Linked DNA regions of Nothobranchius furzeri. The protein of the gene in region 1 purifies or fractionates together with the protein of each later gene. This does not show direct contact. Links are inferred from orthologs where the notes say so. Each region holds a gene or a part of one and is shown in the gene's direction. Other genes may lie near its edges.

The links.
Region 2: the proteins of prkacab (region 1) and cdc37 purify together in Homo sapiens (affinity purification with mass spectrometry; 3 studies listed by BioGRID, with this or other methods). This does not show direct contact. The link is inferred for Nothobranchius furzeri from reciprocal best matches to the Homo sapiens genes PRKACA and CDC37.
Region 3: the proteins of prkacab (region 1) and microtubule-associated protein 2 purify together in Homo sapiens (affinity purification with mass spectrometry; 3 studies listed by BioGRID and IntAct, with this or other methods). This does not show direct contact. The link is inferred for Nothobranchius furzeri from reciprocal best matches to the Homo sapiens genes PRKACA and MAP2.

Annotation. Positions count from the first base shown.
Region 1 is NC_091744.1:6,141,263-6,149,093, reverse strand, and holds the start of prkacab (cAMP-dependent protein kinase catalytic subunit alpha), read left to right. Parts: upstream 1-2,751; 5' UTR 2,752-2,975; coding exon 2,976-3,021; intron 3,022-6,956; coding exon 6,957-7,018; intron 7,019-7,831. Other genes in the region: asf1bb (histone chaperone asf1b-B), read left to right, coding at 11-205.
Region 2 is NC_091745.1:3,427,317-3,435,147, forward strand, and holds the start of cdc37 (hsp90 co-chaperone Cdc37), read left to right. Parts: upstream 1-3,158; 5' UTR 3,159-3,173; coding exon 3,174-3,175; exon of another isoform or gene 3,176-3,181; intron 3,182-3,945; exon of another isoform or gene 3,946-4,006; intron 4,007-5,565; exon of another isoform or gene 5,566-5,807; coding exon 5,808-5,916; intron 5,917-6,153; coding exon 6,154-6,429; intron 6,430-6,841; coding exon 6,842-6,947; intron 6,948-7,036; coding exon 7,037-7,152; intron 7,153-7,248; coding exon 7,249-7,371; intron 7,372-7,535; coding exon 7,536-7,718; intron 7,719-7,831. Other genes in the region: uncharacterized protein, read left to right, coding at 20-220, 477-549, 599-655, 924-1,190, 1,270-1,602, 1,681-1,935, 2,007-2,014; cmc4 (cx9C motif-containing protein 4), read left to right, coding at 2,886-2,943, 3,022-3,158. UniProt on the Homo sapiens protein: Co-chaperone that binds to numerous kinases and promotes their interaction with the Hsp90 complex, resulting in stabilization and promotion of their activity. Inhibits HSP90AA1 ATPase activity.
Region 3 is NC_091742.1:61,551,900-61,559,630, reverse strand, and holds part of microtubule-associated protein 2, read left to right. Parts: coding exon 1-11; intron 12-550; coding exon 551-597; intron 598-1,493; coding exon 1,494-1,611; intron 1,612-1,726; coding exon 1,727-1,780; intron 1,781-4,872; coding exon 4,873-5,180; intron 5,181-7,731. UniProt on the Homo sapiens protein: The exact function of MAP2 is unknown but MAPs may stabilize the microtubules against depolymerization. They also seem to have a stiffening effect on microtubules.

The DNA of each region.
Region 1 (7,831 bases):
TCTTTTGTAGCTCCAGAGAAACATTTTGGCCTCAAACCCCCGTGTAACTCGCTTCCACATTAACTGGGAGGGCATGGCAGATAAGATGGAGGACTGTGAGAATGTTGACCCATCTAACACCAGTGGCATGCTCCCGCCATCCTGTATACCGGGAAAGATGCCCCCTCTGGCACAGATGCCGGACAACTCCATGGACTGCATGTAAGGGTCTAAAGATTCCTATGATGGACAAGAAGCTCTTCCCAACAAGTACTCAGCCACCTCGCAACCACACATTTCAACCAAAGGCCATGGATGGTTCTTTTAGTGAAATGTGGACATTAAAGAGAATTTTCAGTATTGCAGCGTGGACATTATTTGTATTTGGCTCTTCAGGTGAGAACGGAATAATTGCCAGCTTTGCTTCCTTGTGTGCTCGTTCAGATCTGCCTTAAATAATCAAAAAGGTTCATCTTGAGAAGTTTTAAGTTGCCAACAGGCTCGCCACAGCCATGAGGCATATGAGCCGAATGTCTAGTGATTATTTTATTATTTTTTTATTATGTTCTCAGTTTCAAATTCTGTTACAGTGTTCAGTGTGAATAGGTTTAGCAAATGATAAAATAATTCAGAAACCAATCTTTGGAAAGTTTTCTAAGCATTTGAAGTGATTAATTCATGTATTTTCCTAATGTTATTTGTTGTGGATGATTCAGAATCGGGGATCAGCTGGTAAAAGTTTCACAATAATTATTAACACAAAATCTGAGTTGGTGCAACTCTAGAAATCTTTTGTTCATTTGTTTGACTGGTATTGCAGAGTAAATCCACAAAGTGACGGGCTTTGTTTGGGACTTTTCTACATCACGTACCGTATTAAACCCAAATCTTCGATTGATGCATCTTTTCAAGGGAAACGATCAGAACTTGGGTTCGGGGTGTGTTTGCTGTCATTGAAGGGCTTTTTTACTGTAAATGTATTCCTATGACCCGCTTTGTCTTCAAAAGCAGACGTTTCACTTTGTACTTCTCATATATCCTCTGCCTTTTACTGTGCACAAGCAACAAGGTTAATAAAGTTTGGTTTTGTTGATTTTGCTCTGATTTCTAATGCTCACTTGGTCTGATTTCAGACTTGTGTGGAGAAAAAAAATCTGTGACAAACAGGGAAGACTCGGGGCACGTGTTGGTGCGCATCAACCCACTACTCCCCCCCCCCCCCCCCCCCACCACCTTCTTTTTTCCAATTTCATTCATAAAATGCAGCAGCATCACTCTATCTCCACTCTAGCCTCATGTTGCCAGGCAACTGCTGCAAAAAAGAGAGAAGGGAGGGGTGTGTCTGCTCTCGACCATTTTATACCGATCAGTGAGTAACTCCCCCTTCAATCCATCTGTTACCTCTGTCTGCTTCTCACATCTGCCCTGTTTAAAACAACCGAAACAGCAGCAATCAGAATTGGATGCACTCCGAATGCAGCATTATGTAAACATGCAGCAGGGTTTAAGAGCTAAAAATAAGCTGATCAGCTGCAAATCGATCTGGTAAATATTGCCAAACATCTGCTTGTTGCATCTTTATTTAATTTGAAGAGCTGCCACTTTTGCCTAACGTTGACAGTCATTTGGCATGGTTTTACAGCACCTGAGATCAAATGTGGAAAAGAATATAGCTGGTTAATTGGTTGTGCTGTAAAAAATGTGGCTTCAGAGTCAAAGTGATGAGGATGCTATGAGATCTATTTATAGATTTGATTTATTTTTTCCTACCAACACAAGCTTACGTTAAATCAAAGGGGCATTCTAATGCAAATCTGCGAATCGGAGCTTTTGATGATGCTGATGATAAAAGGACCCCTGGTCCGCTGCTCTCTAGTCCAGCTGCTGCGGGGTGATGAAGATGAAACACCAGTTTTTAAAATCTTGTTTATTTGTGTTCATTTCTCACAGAATAGCCTGCGAAATGTTTAGATGTCTTTGCTGCCACACTGCGCCGCGCGTGCGTTAAATTCTGACCAACATTTCTAAAAATAGACTCACGGTTGACGTCACTCAGCCAAACGTGTAACAGTCGCTCAGCAGCGGGAAAGAGCGAAGTAGAGGAGGAGGGTATTTATGTCAATCACTGGTGACAGCCAATGGGCGTCCTCGTGTTCGCTGAGATTCCCACGGTCCGTCCGTATCTAGCCAATAGAAGGGCCGGATCACAAAAAGTGGGCGGAGTCGTTGTCGGGAGGAAAATATTCTGTGACGTTGCCCTCATTCGCGTTGTGTTGGGCGGTGGGAAGCTGCTGTTGTTGATTGACGGCTGCAGTTGGCCAATCACAGTAAACTGTTGGTCACCGCTCTGATAAAGTGGCCAATCATCGACGTAAGCACGAGCTGTCATTCAACGCTGGTTTAAGCAAGTAGGCGGGACGTTCGCTCCGCTGTAGTTCCGTCATCTCGCTGGTCTCCGAGGCTACGGGGGCCCGATGTTGATTTGGGTGAATACCTGTCGTTGTCGGACCCCGCTGAGGCTAAAATTTTGCTAAGCTGGTTTTATTGACAACAAGCGAGACGCTTTCGATTGAGAACATTGCTCCCTCTCCGCTGGTATTGTTGTTTTTATAGGCTGGGAGAGGTGGTGGAGAGCCGGGGAGGGGAGCTCCGTTCGGCGGGGGCTGCAAGGAGGGTCAGGTGGAGACTGTATCCTCCGTGTCCAGGCCAGCTGCCTCCGAGCTCAACCCTGAAGCTCCGGCGAAGCCCCAGCTCAACGTGGATTTAAATCCGATGCTGGCCAGCGGCTGCGGGTGACCGTGGGAGGGAGCGAACCCGCTTATCTAACGTGGCGCCGCATTAGCAGCTGTCAGGCTACTAAAGAGCAAGACCTCGGAGTGAACGCTCCGTGCTGCTGCTGGATTCAGGAAAACACCGTCCAGATCGAGATTTGACCGACTTGAGGAGGCTGCAGGGCGGCCGGAACGCCGCGGATTGCCTGTTGACAGGTTGTCATCATGGGCAACGCGCCCACGGCAAGAAAGGGCAGCGAGATGGAAAGCGGTGGGTATCCTGATCCGTTACATCCTCACGAGATGATCAGAGACAACGTGACACGGCAGGCGATGTTAGCTTTACAAAACCTGCAACACAGCGGCCTTTCCTCACGATGCTTTCATTTAATACCATCCACATGATGTCCTCCTTACAAGCGAATTAGGATGTTATTTGACATGAACCCCATACCAGCAGCGATGGCTGCAAGTTCTTCATCATTTCAAATATGTTATTGAGATCTCTAAATAAAACTCAAGATTTCCTGCTACAGGGCATTTAACTGAGGATGCAAAGCTAGAATTAACTGCAAAACAACCACTCTTAAGCTGCAGTAATATTGGCATCCTCACTTCCTCTTGTACTCGGATCTTGGCAAGACTGCAACAAACTATGTGTCAGATATTTCCTGAACACTCTGTGCCTGTTGCTCTTTGGAGGGATGTATTGTCAAGACTTCTTGCAAACATGGGGGGGGGGGGGGGGGGGGGCATTTAGTGTTGATTGGCTAAGGGATATAATTTGGTCTATCAAATAAACAAAAGTATGGAAGCCTACTGATGAGAAAGCGATGGCAATCAAAGCGATTGTGTTTTATAAATCTACATTTTAGGTTGACATTACGTGACTTTTCATTAAGAACCACAACCTTTGTACCTCAGGGCGCAGTAAAAACAACCTGCACATTGGAAACATGAAAAATATACATTCTTCAATATGAAGCGTGAATATTTTGGCTCAGAATCGCTGCTTTGGATGTTATTCTTGTGTGTTGTTGTGCTGTAAGTTTTACTCACGTTTACAGCAATCCTGTTACTAAATAAAACTGGATTTACTTTGACTAATTTGATAGACGATGTGTGGGGCTGGGAAAAAGTATTTACCTCTTTACAGATTTCTACAGTCTTTGCTTTTGGGGTCAAATTTAGATGTTTCAGACTCTGCTAATTTCAGTATCTGATTTAATTCATCAAGGTGGGGGGAAATTGTCTGGCTCTATGTGAAAATAGCCTGCAGCCAGCCGCATGCTTCCTTATGGGAAGTTCTCTGTGTAGAATTAAACAGAGGATGAGTCTGGCAGGCCAGGCTAATGTGAAAACTGTTTAATTGGGGATAACACCTTTGGTGACAACAGCTGATGCAGCTTTAAGGTCAAAGGCTACAAACTCCTTCAAGATTTTCTGATAGAATTCATGTTTGCATCCGTTGCAGCAAGTGGTCCAGGTGCTGAAGCAGCGAAGCCCTAAACATCACACTACCACCACCATGGTTGACCATGATGCTCTTTCACTGACATTTAATTTTACACCAGATTTAATGGGTTGCACACCTTCCATAAAGTTTGAATTTCATTTGGTCAGTCCACAAAATATTTTGCCAAAAGCCCGGGAGATCATGATGCCTTTGGCAAATGTGAGATGGGTCTTAGTTGTGTTCTTTTTTTAATCTGCTGAGGTTCTGGCCTTGGAACTATAAACATGAATACTTAGATGACCCATTGGGCTCTGGGGAGTGTAACAGCGTGCATTCAGGCTTCCAACACAAAATAATGGACACCACCAGTGTTGTTGAGTACTAAAAGAACTTCAACAAAAGAACTTACCAAGTATTCTGTGCACCTAAATAATAGTGACACACACCCCCATCGACAGTTGCCACATACAACCTGAAAAACATTACAAATAAGATGTAGAAACGCCAGGAAAAGTGACACCGGTCAATTTAGGCAGAAATGTTGAAATTTTTAACGACATAACAATTGATAACAACAATAAACAACTACTCGGTTCTGTAAAAAAAAAAAACAGAACATATAAATGAGAAAAAAATAAAGCTGAAAACTACTTCCTGGTAGCACTGGACATCTTAAAATTTGTGATCTTGGGTCCTCTGAAACCTACCAGCTCGCAGCTCAGAATTCTGAGTTTAATGCGTCATTTCCGGTTAACTTACCTCAGAAAAACGAGTTCTGACGACAACTGGAACGCACCACTAATCTCCATTTTCAGTCAATGGGGCTAAAAAAGCTATTTTTTAATCTGCTTTGCCTGACGCCCTGAATTGCACACATGTTGCACTTCAATTTAAATGAAAAGTAAAGATGTGTGTTTCGATCACACCTGTCAAATTTTGAAACGTATGAGTTTGTAAAAATTTGTAATTACAATTACAAATCGGACGTCCCCCCCCCCCCCCCCCCCCCCCGTGTAGCTGCTATTTACCACATGGCAAGATTCATGGTTGTTCTTTCCTACTGAAAGAAGGATTCGAAGCTCCCTTAACCATTTTTCCTATCCTCTTCTATAATGGCCTCCATTTAAAATGATAGCGCAGCCGCGATGTGGCGCGTCTGTCTCCGGTGTGCCCTAAGCTTTAGACACCATAAAGACAGCACCAATCCAAGGGGGGCCTACATATGGTATGTCTGTTGGGTTATAAGCTTGACTCTCCGAAAGTCCAGTTAGAATTGACAAAGTTCATCGGATGAGAAGCGAAACATCTTCAAGAAACCAAAGAAGTCCAGTTGCCTTCATTTGAACTCTCATAATGCAATTTTTTTTTCAGCTTTTTCTTATGTTGAATTATGAATTTTGACCTTAACCAAGCCAGGCCTGTAGTGTTTTAGATGCTGTTTTGTGTTATATTTTCTTTAAAACAGGGCAGGTTATGTTGCTTTTTGAGATCCTTCAGTCAACTTTCTTTTGTCTGAAAGTAAGAATTTTCCTAAAAAGCAGGTTCACTGAGAACCCATTTATTGCTCAATGTTTTTGAAATACGATTTGACATTCTGACTTTCACATGCATGCTGGACGTGAAAATAGTTTTCTACCACTGTTTCCGACATTAGCTACCGATAGAAAACAGATGGGAACCACTTGGGTTAGAAAGAGTCACATAGATTTACGTCACACTGTAAACTAGCATTCATGGACTCACTCATCTTGGGTCCTGACGGGGAAGGCTGTTGTTGATTTAGTCTCAGTCTGAATACGTAGAACCATGTGATATTTCAGTTCGTGTTTTTTATTAACTCTGCAGACATTTCTAAAATTCTGTGTTTTTCTGTCAATATGGGTGGACATTAGTGAGGAAAAAATGAATTTTATGACTGCAATATAACAAAGAGTGAAAAATCGATGGGGGGTCTGAATATTTTCCGTACCCACTGTACGTAGACGCCCTGTGAACTGGCGCTGCCTATTGAAGCTGCTGTAATGGCCGGCCGCCATCTTGGACGGGTCTCCATTCCAGATATATAGTATGGTGTAGTAGTTAAAAAATAAATATAATGACATAAAACAAATAAAAATGTATAACTCCAACACTTGTAGGCTAGAAAAGTCCCAGAAAGTTCCTATGTGATCTGTTTTCAATAGTTCGCCAGTTGTTGCAACCATAGCCTGTACAAAAAAATGGGCATAGTTGCTATGCATTGACTCCCAATTGGTTTCGTAGAGTAAGAACCTCCCATCCAATATGGCGGCAACGCTGTAGCACTCTCCAGTAGCCAAAAGGGGATTCTACGTATTCCTGTCTATGGTTAGCATTAGCAACTCAACAACATAGCAGAACTCCTTCAAGCTTGTGTTATTTATACCAGAGACCACAGTGTATCGAAATAAGGAGTGAATAAGAGATTTAAATCTACATATCTGATAGTAATCAGGTCTGAGTGTGGCTTGGTAAACTAAACTCAATAAATTCGTGATTTAACAAGAGGGAAGATTAATTTTGCACAAAGGACCAGGCTGGTTTGAATAGCTTTTTTTCTCTAAACAAATGAAATCATCATTTGAAAACTGCTCTTCTAGATAAAAATTTTACGGACAAATCAGGGGTGGTATCTTACAATGTTTTGGGTGTTATGTTTAGTTACTCAATCTGCAAACATCAAATTTTTTTCTTATGAATTTTGTGCTTTTCCCTTTTTTTTAATTCAACAGTCAAGGAATTCCTTGCTAAAGCCAAAGAGGACTTCCTCAAAAAGTGGGAGAATCCTGCACAGGTGAGTGTGAAATTGAAGGAGATTTCTGCTACAGTTGTAGAACTGTGACGCACAAAAAGCTAAATGTTGCTAACTTAAATAAATATGGTTTTCCTCCAACTTTGTCTGTTAACGTAACACCAAACAGTTTCCAGCTTCTCTGCCCTATTGGTTCAAAGTGGAATTACAACTGTCATAAACAACCCTGCAGTAGCTAACGCTAACAATGAGCTAACACTAACATGAGCCAAGGCTTACTAAATAAGCCATGAATTAAAAGCATCTACATTGTTGGACAAACATTATTATTATTATTATTATTATTATTATTGATGCACTGATATGAAATTTTGGAGCCGATACCAATATCCAATATTGAGATCACTGTTATGGCCGATAACCAATATTTGCCGATACCGATATACTGACATTAATGCTTCCAAAATCAGCAGATTTTGTATAGCATAAAAATTATTCAAGCTGAATTTAGAATAAAAATTATTAAAGCTGAATTTACGTTATTATGTACACACACACCACACACGTTTACATTTCTGAGATGATTACATTCACTATCACATGACTAAACAAATACACATCACCCCCCTTACCCTCTGAAACAGATAAACTGGAGATGAGATGGAAAAAATATCCGTTAATATCAGCCCGTTTTTATTTATTGGACCAATACCGATATGTTAAAAAATGACTAACATCGGCCGATACCGATAATGTTGCCGATATATTTTCCATCCCTAATTATTATTATTATTATTATAGCAATGCCAGGTCACCATCAGCCCATGATTTCATAGCATCCTTTAGCTCCCTCAA
Region 2 (7,831 bases), on another chromosome or scaffold:
TCCCAGCTGTCCTCTCCAGAAATACACCCTAAAAAAGCATGTGATTTCTCGCCTTCTTGTGCGACTGTTGTGGCCTGAGGCGATGCGCTGTGCTGCATTCTGGTCACAGTGTGAGCCTCACAAGCTGCATGCAGCACCAGAGCAGCGCTCCAGCCTGCTGGGGTCCAGCAGCGTGGAGGCCAGAGGCAGGATGAAACAAGCTGCAAAGCAAAGAGATCCAGTCTGTCGTCCAGCTTTTATAAAAACCACCTTGATGGCAAGAATCTACTTGACATGAATGTCAGGAATTCAGATTTACATTAAGCTGGAGTTCTGTTAATCCCAACGGCTTATATTCAAAGCGTTTGCTGATTTTTCTGTAAGATCTCAGATATTCTAGTTGTAAATTTGCAGAGGCGATTATAAGCTTTTGATTTAATCCCTAAACATCTCAGAAGGGGAAGTAATGGGCTGTGTTAAATGTCCCTCTTTCCCAGTCCTCCCCTCCATCCCCTAAGTCAGCTGGGAGGGAACCGTGTTTTGTTCCACGTTCCCTGCAGAGTTGCCAAGGTTGTTCAAGTTGGAATTTTCTTTCTTTCGACGGCTCGGTGCTAAACAAATACCATGGGAAAGAACGTTCTAGCGTGGATTATCATTTCCTGCCTGCTTTGTTCAGGTAAGATGAGGTGTTTTATTTATTTGGGTTCAGAAACTTTTAAACTGATCTGTGGACTAAAGGATCCATAATGAGCTGCAACTTCAGAGGGAAGTACTTTAGATTATTTTAGCATGTTGTGGATTAAAATCTGAACACCATAACATGTTTGGTTATGAGTCATTTTGCTACTGAACAGGCTTGATCTGAACAGTGAAAAGTTGTTTTATTGCATCTCTGACTGGCTTAGCCATACCAATCCTTGCTCACGAGTCCCCGTGTGCCTCAGTGTCAGGTGAAGGTTGCTCCCTCATTCTCAAGCCCTCCAGGGTGGTGGTGGGGTTTGGGGAGTCGGTGTCGGTCAGCTGTGAAGCTACACGCCCGGTTCGGGTCCTGGGCTGGGAATCGGCCATCGGAACGCCACACACACAGGAGGACCAGTCTGTCCAGTGGAAAGTGGACAGTCTTATCGACTGGATCGAGGAACCCATCTGCTATGGGGTGTTTTTCAAAGCTCCGAGACAGTGTGAGGAGAAACTCAACCTCGTTCTCTATAGTGAGTCAGTCCCTCTCATTTTTAAATTTCATGACAGAGCTGAATGTTTGAGCTGAACTTTTGATCCCCTTCATTTCAGAATCTCCCGACAGTGTTTCCATCAGGTTGGTGAACCACACCGGCCCCATGATGGAGGGGAAGGAGTACCAGCTCCTCTGTGAGGTTCAGAACGTTGCTCCTGTTCAGTATCTCACCCTGAGGTGGTACAGAGGTCAGACAGAGGTGTACAAACACTCCTTCTCTGACCTCACATCTTCCTCTCCTGTCCAAGTGTCTTCTACTCTTGTCATCACACCAACCAAAGCTGAGAACGAGGCAGAGTATAAGTGTGTAGCAGAACTGGAGCTTGGACCAGAAGGACCTCAACCACCTCCAACAGTGTCTTCAGAACCTCTCACTGCCTATGTCCTCTGTGAGTTATGAAGCTACTTTCACTCCTAAAATGTCCCAATAATGAAACGTAAAGTCTGTCATTCTTTTTTTTTTTTAGTTCCCCCAACTTTTTTCAGTCCTGAAACAGAAGTTTTAGAACTTACCGAGGGTGATGGGATCACCCTAAACTGCACAGCTGCAGGAAACCCTGCTCCTGCCTACAGCTGGCAATCCTCCCATCCCATAGAGGAGCGGGTGAAGGAGGAAGCAGTCATCACCTCCTCCTCCCTTCTCCCTGGGACATACACCTGTGCTGCCTCAAACACGCTGGAAAAGAAGAGCAAACAGTTCATTGTCAAAGCAAAGACCAAAGGTAAAGGGGAAGTATGAGGAACTACATCTGCAAGTAAAACTCTGCATCCTAATTTGTTTTCTGTTGTTCAGGTGTTTAAGGCCCACTAACAGGACTTGAATCAGCTGGAAGAATTTCACTGAGCAGGTTTTATTGCTGCTGCCTCATGAGATGGAAGCATTCAGTAATCAGTGGATGTTTTGATGTATTCTGTTATCATACAGAGTTAGATCTCACAAAGAAGACAAATGAAGATGTTTAGCAAACGCCATTTATTATGTGAAGGTTGATTTTTGTCGTAGTCTACTGTTGTTGTTTTATGTAATAAAATTTCCCTTATTATATATGTACTAGAATATTTTTAATGATCTAATAAGTAAAGAAAATCATAATTTGACAAAGTATAACTACCCTTGATACGCCAATGACTAACAATGTGAAGTTACTGTAAATATGAACTGTTTCTAAATGTTCTTATCTTTATAAATAAAGTTAAATAAACAAAAAATTCTTTTTATGGTTTGATTTTTAAACGTGTATTTTGATAGTTATTAGTGCCAGTTCTGAGTAATGTAAATAAATAAACAAAATTTCCGTACTTGTGAAAAATACCTCCCACCAAAAGATTATGGCTTCTTTAAAATGTAAATTTATACTTTCTGAAGGTTAGTTAATGAAAAAAATATTCAAAATTATTCTATAAATACATTTTATGTTCGGTTACTGCAAAACATTTTGGAATTACATTTAGGTTTTCAAGGCGACGTTGTCAAATTCCTTTGCAACACCAGAGGTCGCTGTTGTTCATTGTCCGGATTTGATTAGATCTCGTTGCGTCACATGATCACTCTCGCGAGAGGAGAATGCATCGCACTAGCTAAGACGTCCAGGTGGGAATCGGCTTTTAGCTCCTTTTGGGTATCCTGATGCTTTAAAATTTGATTACACTATTGCTGCGTTTTCTTTCAGGCATGCCGGAGAAAGATCCGTGTCAAAAACAGGCATGTGCTATTCAAAAGTGTCTGCAAGGTACATTAAATGTAGATGAAAATGCTGCTAGACAGCGGGCGAACCCCACAGTCACATAACTCCGTTCCACTCCTGCAGCCAACAACTACTCGGAGAGTTTGTGTGAGAATGTGATCCGAGAGATGCGGCGGTGCTGTGAAGCTCAGGCCGGGAAATCCATCTGCTGCTCCGGGTTTAGGGAGTCCAAACCAACGGGGAACAAGAGCAACGCATAAAAACATCTCAATCAAATGTCAGTGTGTTTGGCATTTACCGTTGGAATGTATTCATTATTACATGTATCATAATAATTATCATAAAAGTACACACTAAACTTAACACTGGACGTGTAAACGTGTAAAGCTTTAAGATAACACTCCTCCCTGGCAGTGTGATTAACTACAACCAGGTTATGTCCACCGCCCTCTGATCGTGTTAAAATGATCGAATCTTTGCATGCCAGTGAGCTGAAGATCACGTGAGACCATGGACGTAATTTTGGGGGGGGGGGGGGGGGGGGTCAGGGGGACATGTCCCCCCCACTTTTTCCAAAGTCAAGTTTTGACCCCTGCACTTTTTACCATCCAAAAACAATTTTACGCTATATTAAATTCACACTGGTTGAGCTCTAGGACCAAGTGGAAAACAACTGTTTGTGTTGAAGCCTGTTTCCCATTAGAGCATACTGTAAAGATACCCCCCCCCCCCCCCACACACACACACACCCGTGTCCCCCCCACTTCTAAAGTGAAAATTACGTCCATGCGTGAGACTGTTATAAATATGCTTGCTTACAGAAACAAATACATTAAAAGACTGATAGTAGACATCTTGACTGTGATTCTGGTGGCAGACCCAAACTAAACTCCTGATATTTATATTAAAGTGGTCCCAGCTCTCCTCGTGTTTATTCTGCTCAGAGCTCTGGGTTAATGTAAACGTGACGATTCACGATCACCAGGTAAAACATTTAACTGATCTATATTTTTGTCTATTTGTGTGTGTTTTCATGTCCCTGTTCAGGTCTGTAAAAATAGGTTTTTTTATCATCATGCTTGTGAGTAATGCACATATAGAACACACTGTAAGTATTTTCAGAAACATTTAATTTCTAAAAACAATCTCATGTGTGGCAATAATATGTTCCATATTACACCATCCTAACACCAACTTTCATCCTTCAGTCATTACTTCTTTAGAAGCTTCCTAAACAGATTGATAAAGAGAGCAATTATTCTATTATTATTACACATACTATTTTAAAACTGACCATTGCTAACAAAATACTAAAATTCATTGCAAAAGTCATCCATTAATAAATTATTGATCACGTCGAGGTTCCATCTTCACAGTGCAAACATTGAGATTACCAGTTTCAAACTCTTGAAATCATTTAGATTTATTCTAATTGAATGTGTCCAACAAAATGCTTACTGGCACTTATAAGAATGTCCATGTTGGGTGGATGAAGGGCTGAAAGCAAACGAAACAAGAGAAAATTTAACAATTCCAGAGATGAGCTGATTCTGGATTTAAGGGCCAACATGCAGATTTCTTTTTCAACCCTGACCTGCTGAGCTGATACTACTATTTTGGGCTGTTTATGTTTAATGAAAAATCAATCAGATTTTTGGTATTTGGATGATCACTGGTTAAGACGCCATACTGAATACTGGCTTGTTTGGATCTCCAGTCAGCTTTCAGGGTCAGCTCTAATTATTGTTTCTTGAGAAGCGTTTGCTAGTTTATATCTAAACATTTACTTGTGGTTTTTCCATCCAAAGAATAACAAAAAATAAAATGAAAAAAAAAAAAAAAAAAAAAGCTGAACACTATACCATCATCAAGACCTCTCAGCCTCTGTTCTTGGTCCAGTAAAGAAGGTAAGATGTCTCGCTGAGAAAACAGCCTCAGTCTGTGGATGTTTGACAAGGGGGAAAAGTCCAAGAAGATAGTTTTATTCGGTAGAGAAAAACAGTTTGCTTTTTTAAGTTTTACAGAAATGTTTAGATTAGCTGAAAAATAATTGTGTAAGATACTTGATATTTTATAGTACTTTCAGTTTAGCATACAATAATAAGTTAATAAATAAAAGAAAGTCAAAGCACAAATGTGGAGAAAAAGAAGTCACGTCTTGTAAAGAAACTACAAAAATAGTTGTGATGTAAATACTTTTATAATCTGTACAACAGACTAACATTCTGACTAATCTGCTGCTAACCAGGTTTAACTATATGCAATAATATGAGGATAAGGATGGATTGGTACACGATCAGACATTATGGTTTTTATGTAGGCTACACAAATGGTATCTATATAGTGGAAACGATATTTCGGTTGTTTAGAAATCTGAGTAACTACAGTAAAAATACGAAGAAAGAAATGAAGGAAATCTGTTCAGTTCACTTTTGTAACTCATGGTGTTGTGCCGGAAAAAGCCCCTCTGTTCGTATAGGCATTTGTGTCAAACAGACTTTGTTCGAAACCGAACTTTAACTCATACATCTTTACTTGTTTATTAACGGGGTGCGTTTGTGAAAAACTTGGTTTTTCTAGTAAGTTTAACATACGGTCGCAGGCACATACGAGTGCATTTTTTACCACAACACCTGCGTCATACGTGCCTTTTACGTCATGACGTTTAGGCGTGTAGCGGAAGCTTGCAGCAGCGAATCTTTCTAGAATTTTGTAGCAGCATTTGGCTAACTGTCGCTGAGACAGTCCAGCTCCTTCCCTTCTGATAAGACTACAGTCTAATGCGCCGTTGGTAGTTAACACATCTTTCGGAGACTTTGGAAAGCGTCAGAGTGTTGTTGAATTTGTTTTTCCGAGAGTTTTAATTGAAATTATCGAACTCTTAAAACAAGCTAGGTTCTGGTTTACAGGATGTCCAGGATAGATTACAGCGTGTGGGATCACATTGAGGTCTCGGACGATGAAGATGATACCCACCCAAACATTGACACACCCAGCCTCTTCAGATGGAGACACCAGGTACCTTTTTGATTTATAACGTGACTGAGTTTTGATTTTCTTTTAACTTCGGACTGGTACTTTGGTTAGCTGGCGTCCTAGACTCAGTTTGGTGTTGCAAACAACATTCTCCCTATGCTAATTCCTAGCAAACCTGTTTATGTAGCTGTAGTGAATTACTAAGCCTACAAAACTTGTAACAAAGTGTATTGTAAAAGTTTTGTACCTCCAGTTGTGATTGGCATCATCCCATTTCAGGCACGTGTGGATCGAATGGAAGAGTTCCAGAAAAAAGGAGAAGACATCAACAAGAGCCTGAAAGAATGTCGGCGCAAGCTGACTGAGACGCAAAAGAAACTGCAAGAGCTAAATGTGTCGGGTGAGGCCAAAGCAGAGCTGAGCAAAGTCCAGGCTGAGGAGAAGAAATTGAAAAAGGAGGAGAGAGATTGGGAGAGGAAGTTGGATGAATACAACAGAGAGGAGAAGAAGATGCCGTGGAACGTGGACACACTCAGCAGAGATGGTTTCAGCAAGGTGACTAGGATCAGGCAACAGCTTACTGCGAAATAGAAAGTATTGGTTTGCATCCACTGGTATCAATGTTGGCAGACCTGTCAATTTATAATCAATAGTTGTCTCAGCGGTTTGATGGCAATATTTTTTTCCCCCAATTTCATGTTTAAAATCAGTCTAGTTTGATGCTCAGCATGAATGTTGGTCATTTTTTTGTTGGGAGTAGCTTGTATACAATCTCCTGAAAATACAAACTAAAATCATCCTTTAATTGTAAATAAACATAATCAAGGTTTATATGAAGTGTGTTATTTTTGAATATTTAGAGCTTATATACAACATTCTAACATGCCGTTAACTTACAGAACGATGCAATAAAATGCATTTGAATGCAGTCGTCATCTATTAACGGTGTTTTGTTTGTCTTCATTAGAGCATTGTTAACGTCAAACCAGACCCTTCTGAAGAGACAGAAGAGGAGAAGGAGCAAAAACATAAAACTTTTGTGGAGAAGAACGAAAAGCAGCTCAAACATTTTGGTAAGCCCGCCTGACAACCATGATTAAAATGAGCAAATCAGTAGGACAGTAAAAATAGAGATGCTGATTTGTCGCTGTGGTAACCTCAGGCATGCTGCGACGCTGGGATGACAGCCAGAAGTACCTCTCTGACAATCCTCATCTTGTATGTGAAGAAACTGCCAACTACCTTGTCATCATGTGTATTGACCTTGAAGTTGAGGAGGTAAACAGCTTAAAAGAAATCTCGTGCTACTATTGTATGTCTTACATGGTCACTGTCTGATTAGAACATGAGCCTCTGTGCCTCTTCGTTTTGCAGAAACATGCTCTGATGGAACAGGTGGCTCATCAGACCATCGTTATGCAGTTCATTCTTGAGTTGGCCAAAAGCCTCAAACTGGACCCCCGTGGTTGCTTTCGCCAGTTTTTTGCAAAGATCAAGGTAATTATTACGTGTTTGGACTTTTGTATTACATACGTTTTTAAGGGGATACTTTTTTAAAAAGTAAAATTATATCTATTCTTGTTTGTTTTGATGAAGTTTCTGAAAACACTCCATGTTGGAAGTGCTTTCATGTTACTTTTCTTGTATGTTTATTCACCCAGACAGCAGACCAGCAGTACCAGGATGCTTTCAACGATGAGCTGGAGTCATTCAAGGAGCGAGTCCGTGGAAGAGCCAAGATCCGCATCGAAAAGGCCATTAAAGAGTATGAAGAAGAAGAACGACAGAAACGCATGGGTCCTGGGGGACTAGACCCCGCGGAGGTGTACGAGTCCCTTCCACCTGTAAGTGAATGTGTTAACCATATTTCTGATGTCGCTGTTTTACCTGCGTTGTAATACAGAGTGTTTTTAATTATATGAGATGCAGAAATGATTTGATGGGAAGGACATTCAGA
Region 3 (7,731 bases), on another chromosome or scaffold:
CAAGCCCACAGGTGAACACTTTTCACCATGCATCAATGCCACAAATAGAGAGAGATCCTCAGTGATTTTTGTTAAAAGTTCTGCAGTGTCTCTACAACTCAGTTTGTTAAAATAGATGCAAATTTCTAGAAAAAATTGGATTTGAATTCTGAATTGTTGATCTCTCTTTAGTTTTTGGCTCATGGAGGAATCAAGAAAAGTGCATTGTAGCTGGCAAACATCTCGTGCTGCCAATCCATTTTTAAAAACGTGTACATTTTCAACTCAGCTGCTGTCATTTTGGTCTTGTTGGTGAAAAAATTGCCCACATTCATATTCTATTATGCTCAGTTTTGCTTTTCTTTGCTAATTGTTGATATTTAAGGCGTGAAACTGTATATCTTTATGGATTTCAACTTCTTGCACACTGTGAAACAAATTCTTGGCCTTCTATTTTTTTTCTTTCTTCCTTTCTCAATTCATTATGTGTACTCTGTTTATGTGCATGTGTTACTCCAGTACATGTCTCCCCCTGCTGGTTGATATTGACATGCTTCTTTTTACCTCTCAGGTGTGGACCACCATCAGCCGCTCAGTGTGTCCAGAGAGAGGCCCACTGTAAGTATACAACCTCTTTAAAAGACTTTTAAGTCTTCTTGTTCGGCTAATTTAACTAATGTCAAATGTGTGTTTTGGGGGCAATTAAATCACAACAGCATCGTCTCAAACATACTTAATTCCCTTGATTGAAGTAAAAAAAATATTTTTTATTTTGACCTCATGAAGTGTCATTAAAATTAGTCCAGTCTTTAAAAAAAGTAAAAAAAAAAACAGGTTAAGGAGGAGAAATTGGTTGTGTGCTTGAGTGGGTTTATTTTAGGGAAATATTACATTAATGGAACACATAAAGTTTTGCAGTGTCTTCATAATTTTCAACTCATCTATTTCTTTCTTTGACTTCCTTGCATGATTATATTGACCCTTGAATTATGTTTGCCCATATTTGTATTTTCTTTCTTTCTTTGTCTTGGTGTCATCATTTTGTTTTGCATGCACTCCATCTCTTTATCTCAGACGCGACAGAGAAAATCTGTGAGTACAGACTTTGCTGTACCCAAACTTCAAAAATCCTCTTCATTTTATTTCCCTAATTCAAGACTCATTTGCATAGTTTGTGTTTCTTCATGAAATATTTTCATTTCTTGTTTCATTTTGCCATCACCTCTTCATCCCATCGGTCATCCAGAGCCCTACAAGGGCTGTTCTATTAAAGATGGCCGCGCAGCGCGTCGGGGGGTCCCATCACCCATCCCCTCGGCCCGGCTTTGCCTGTGTCCTTAAACAAAGCCCTCTCGTGGAGGCGGAGCTTTACGAAGCCCGCTCCTCCTCTGCATGTTCCCTCCCGTCCCCTCTGCCAAACAAAGTGGCGGGGAAGGTAAATTAACGAGGGGCAAAAGGAACTGAGATGTAGCTTTAGCTGCCACGAAGATACTGACTCTTGTTTGTTGATTCAGGAGCGAACGTACCGCAGCCCTGAGAAGAGGTCATCCCTTCCCAGGCCGGCCAAGTCGCTGACTCGCCACATTCCTGCTTCTGAACAAGAAGACAACAGCACCCCCTCTAGGCCAACCTGTAAGATACAATCTACTTTTGTTTATTAATAACTGCGTTACATCTGAATAAAGTCTAAACTCCTGCCCTCGTTCCTCTTCAACCTTCTTGTTCTTTTCCCTCCTACTTTTCGAAGCGATCCGAACCGACTCCAGGGAGAGCAGGTCTGGAAGGGCCCCTAGTATGGCAGGTAGACCACCTGATAGCTTAGCCTCATCACTCTCTTATCATCATCAGCATCAAGTCAACCGCTGTTTCATCAGGAGAAGCTGCCGGTTTTAGAATCAAGTGTACATTCTCAGATTCAGTCATCCAGTCAGAAAGAAAGGTTTGTGTTAGGGATGCAGTGATACCACTTTTTTTCCAAACTGATACTTGGATCCGAGTACTCGCCGTACTGATTACCAACAACGATACTTCTAACACACACCAAAAATGCAGTGAATTAGAATACAAGTTTTATTTTCAATAATAACAGGAAAAGACTGCAAGGCTGATAAAAATTAAATATAATAATAGAAATAATCACAAAACTAAAATCGTAGGTGAACAGAAATTACAAGTTACAGTGAAGCCACTTTCAGGCAGCTGCATTGGTATCAGTATCGGTGCATCCCTAGTTTGTGTTAATAAACTGATTCTTGCAGCTAAACAGCAGGTTGGTGTAAAAACACCAGGTGCGTTTCTCATCCAGCATTTAAAACCCTATTGGTTCTTGCTTTAGTAACCCAGCAACAAGCTGCCAGAGCCGTGTGTGCTCTCACACTTATTGTCAAACATTCGTGTTTGGTCTGGGCTGTTTGAGATTTGAAACTTGAGCTCATTCGATCACAGTTGAGCCGCACATACAGCCGAGGTCAGAAGTTTACATCCACTCATTGTAGACTCAAATGTTATTGAGTGTCCATTTTTAAGGAGGAATGATTGTCTTAACACACAACTTAAATTATTTTCAAAAACAAGAATTAAACACGTCAAAATTATTCATAAAGACATGAATTCCCCAAAAATCTGATATTTCTAGAAGGTCTTAACAAGTTCAAGACAACACTTCCGCATTTACCACATTTACTCTTCTCACGCGCTCGTGCATGTAGCAACGGATCACCACTGGTGTGAGAGGTTCTCCGCTCAGTAATATCAGAGAAGGAGAAACAGCCGGCTGCTACCAGTTCAACTTTAGGACAAACTACTAGAGTCCCTAAAGAAAACTCCGTTTGAAGTCACGGACAACAGAAGATGTTTGGACCTAGAAAATGGTGACTGGTGTTTAGCGCTTTAGCCCACTATTAAAAATGAGTGTCCAGAGTGAAAAGTTTTACATCACCAAAAATAAGCTTAACAGATTTCTTCTGGTGAAATGTTTTATGGTCAGACAAGACAAATATTTTTCTACAATGAGAAGAAATATGTTTGTAGGAGTCAAGGTGAGGACTGAACCAATTGTCGAGTGGTGGTAGCATCATACTGCAGTTGGATAAAGTGGACTGAAGGAGGATCACCTCCAAATTCTTCTCCTGAAACCATCAGATACTAGCCTAGAAATCTAGACTGACCGTAGCTGAAGTAAAAGCTCAAGGACAGAGGATAGCAGCAGTAGCTCTCAAACATTAGTTCATTCAGGTTTGATGGCTTCCAGCATGGACAGCTCTCTTTAACTCGCACCACAGATATTCACTAATATTCAGGTCTGGGGACTGAGATGGTCATTCCAGAACATTCTACTTGTTCCTCTGCATGAATGCCGTAGATGTTGAGCAGCGTTTAGGGTCGTTGTCTTGTTGAAAGATCCAGCCCCGCTGCAGCTTCAGCTTTGTCACTGATTCCTCGACATTGGTCTGCAGAATCTGCTGATATTGAGTGGAATCCATGCATCCCTCAACTTTAACAAGGTTCCCAGTCCCTGCACTGGCCACACAGCCCACAGCATGATGGGACCACCACCATGCTTTACTGTAGGTAGCAGGTGTTTTTCTTGCAATGCTGTGCTCTTTTTCCTCCATGCATAACTCCCCTTGTTACGCCCAAATAACTCGGTTTTAGTTTCATCAGTCCTCAGCACCTTGTTCCAAATGAAGCTGTTCAGATGTGCTTTAGCGGCTCTGTTTGTGCTGTGGGAGGAGAAAACGCTTCCTCTGCATCATTCTCACATACAGCATCTCCTTGTGTAAAGTGGACTGAATAGTTGAATGATGGACAGTGACTCCATCTGCAGCAAGATGATTTTGTAGGTCTTTGGTGCTGGTGTGTGGGTTGACTCTGATTGTTCTCCATTCTTCACTTCTGTTTATCTGAGATTTTTCTTGTTCTGCCACTTTGAGTCTTAACTAGAACTGTGCCAGTGGTCTTCCATTTCCTCGGTATGTTCCTAACTGTGGAAACAGACACCAGAAATCTCTGAAACAACTTTCTGTATCCTTCCCCTAAACCATGATGGAGAACCATCTTTGTTTTCAGCTCATGTGAGAGTTGTTTTGAGACCCCCGCGTTGCTGCTCTTCAGAGAATATTCAAAGAGGAGGGAAATTTACAATTGGCCCCCTTAAATACTCTCTCATAACTGGATTCACCTAGGTCAAGGGTCACTGAGCTTTCCAAACCAATGTAGAATTCCAACAGTGGCCAAATGTATGCACCTGCCTAATGTTGTTTATCTATCTATCTATCTATCTATCTATCTATCTATCTATCGATCTATCGATCTATCTATCGATCTATCGATCGATCTGTCTATCTATTCTGTCTATCTATTCTGTCTGTCTATGAATGATGGCTTGCCAGGCTAATGAACACGTTGTTCTGAGAGGACAGTGTTGCTGAACATCAGGAATAGTTTACACAAAGCTAACATGAGGCATCTGTAATGACCTTCCCATTGGCCCTACTTGTTTATCAATGACAAGTCTTTCCCAGGAAACCAAAAAGTTTCAACAAACTACCAATTCTGTCAAGTAGGTTGGTCCAATGTCAACCAGAAGTACGACAGAAGATTGTTGATGGTTACAAACGTGTTTGGTTAGAGTTCAACTTGGTATGTGACTATTGACTGCATGGTGATGCAGTTGTTAGCACTGTTGTCTTGCAGCTAGAAGGTTGCAGGTTCAAAACTCAAAAATAAAATTATTCCTTACTAATTAATGAATTGTTCTAACTGATTGTCATGGGCCCAAGCTGAATGGCATTAAAACTACAACTTTCTCCTTCCATCCATCATCACAAGAATTGAACTTGATTACAAACATTTTCCATCTTCATTCTCTTTAATGTTCGTTTCTCTTCCAAGGCACAGACTCAACCCGTTCCAGGTCAGTCCGTAGCGGCGCCTCCACTCCAGGCTCAGCCGTGACACCCGGCACGCCCCCCAGCTACTCTTGCCGTACCCCTGGATCTCGCACCCCTGGTAGCCACACCCCGAAATCCTTCAGCGTCCTCCAGGAGAAGAAGGTGGCGGTGATCAGAACTCCGCCCAAGTCCCCGTCCTCCATCCAGCGGCAGCTAAAGGTCCTCAACCAGCCCCTGCCTGACCTGAAGAATGTGAAGTCCAAGATTGGGTCCACGGCCAACATCAAACATCAACCAAAAGGAGGACAGGTAGAAGGAACATGCTAAAACATGCTGGATTTATTAAACCCTGCTTGTGTGTAAGGACCACTAGGGTGTCCTGTTGGACATCTGTGGAAAGGGCTTGTGTTGGCCGTTTCTTCTACTTAGATTTGGGGTAGAACAGGGGTTTTGGTCCATGATGACATGATAGCATCACTGCAGCACAACCATGATAAGAAGACTAGACATGGTTGTGGGTGAAAATCCCAGAAAATAAGCAGTTTCAGGAATAGTCGGACCAAAACCCATGCCAAGTCCAAAGTTCCTTAAATCTCTTTCCTGTAGCTTTGCAATAACTAATTTGAAGTCATCTTCACCACGTCTAAATGCCTGAATGTGTTGACTGATTAGTTTTAAACAATTAGAGACGTGCTTAACCATGTGATCATTGAGTGTGTACCTAAACCTGCCACAGGGGGACAGTAACGTACAAACCCACAGTCTGCACCTCAACAACAGTATTTTCTTCCAAAAGGATAAAGGAACATTGTTTTTCGTACAGTTTATATGGATTTAAAACCATCTAAACACTTTGAGGATAAACATTCATATTTTAATGTCATTATCTACAATTATATGTATTTTGTGCAAGATTTGGGGCATTTTTTAAACAATGTTTGGGATTGCTATGTAGAAATATGTTGGAATACTGAGATATTTGTCTTCAAGTGCTCACTCTCACTCACAATCATATGTATTCCTGCATTCTGTGGCTGTGTGTGTTTCCTGTGTTTGCTGCCATCTTCGTCAGGCCAGATGAAGCTTCATGTCCTGCCTCGAGCCTCTTCCCTTTCCCTGTCCCTCCATCTTCCTTCTCCTTATTTCTATTCCTATGTTTCCACCTCAGCGGAGGAGGATAGACTATACTGGGAATGTACTTCTAAATATAACAACTCAAAACAGTCATCTGTCTAAAAATAACCTTCAAAATTCTCATTGGCTCTAAATTGCTGAATCGGTTTCCTATAAGAGCTTTTGTTCAGTTTTTCTTTCTCCAGCATTGAGTATTTATAATATAGCAAATGCAAATATAAAAAAGACCTCTTATTGTAGCTTTTGACCCTGTTTGGTGTGATTAAAAACTACCGTAGGGTAGGGGTTGTACGAACTAGTCGACTAGTCGACTTCACGGCTCTGTAGTGACTTTTTATGCCTGTCATCAACTAGTCGCTGTCACGTGATAATGACTGACAAGATGCAGTCCTCGGAAAAGACAGCAGGTGATGAGCCCCTGCGCGTCTGGATCGAGGCGGAGGCGACGCGCTGTGCGGTACTGACACCGGCGGTAAAACGGACATTTAACCAAACTGTGATGTTTTCCCTCTTGCAATTTAACCTTCCCCTCACCCCCATCCTAATCTTAACCAGTTTGCGCATGCAAAGCTCTGATCGTTGACGTGCGCTCTAGACATTGCGTCCTGAGCACCGCCAAATCAGGTGTCACCACCTCAAAAACAAATTAAACACGCGATCGTTCATGTCGGCTCATTTCCTTTCATGTTTTCTGTCTGTTATTTGTGCCTGATGCGCTTTGTTGCTGCGGAGCGAGGCGCATCAGCTGTTGACCTCCGATGACGCACCCCCAAGATTCCACTATCTCCACTCCGCTCCGCTCCGGCATGAACTCCGCAGCAAAAACGGTCCCGTTGTAGTCAGCCGGCGAGCAGCGGCACTCCGCTGTTTTTGTGGTCGGTAGATCTTTTAGAACTGCAGTTCAAAGGTAACTCATAAGGTGAATATATATGAACCCAGGTAGCAGTTTTTCTTTAGGGATTGAGATGAAATGCAGGAAGATAATAAACAGGCAGGACAGAAAAATAGTCAAATAAAAACAAGTTAGTTTTTGTACCTGCTGGTTGCAACAAACAGACACCATTGAAGGTAATCAGAAGTGAGGAACAGAAAATGAAATAATTATTTTAATGTTTAGAGCAGCAGGAACTCCGAGAGGCTGCAGGCGCATCAGTGAGTTTGCGGCTGCTGCGCAGGGGGAGGGGGGAGAGGGCTGAAGCAGAAACTACCGTTGTTAAAAGAAATGTGTTTAACTTTGAAAATGTGGGCGCAATTTTAATTGTCAAAAACTCCAGCGAACCTACCGACCCCCCCCCCCCCCGCCGCCGCCGCCGCTTCCGGCGTATGACGTCATCAACGACTAGTCGAAGTCGACTCGACTTTCATTACTTGACTGTCGACTTTAAAAAAAAGAAAGTCGTGCAGGCCCTACCGTAGGGACAGTTCACGCTAAAGTGTAAAATGAATTCCTTAAAGAAGGTGATGTTTTGAGTCTATCTTTGCCTTTAGGCTGTTTGATAGCATGTGAGTCTTATTCAAATAGTGTCCTTTATTGTAACTTTACCAGCTGTTCTTTCCCAGAGTCCCCTTTTCTTTTCCTGTGGTTTCTCCTTTATGTTGCTTTAGGAAATATTTATTTAATTATTTGCACCTTTAAAGCAACAAAACAGTATGTACAGAAGCAGACAAAATAGTCACAGTTGAGTGAAAAATGTGTCATACGTTTCATTCGTTTATTATGTGACTG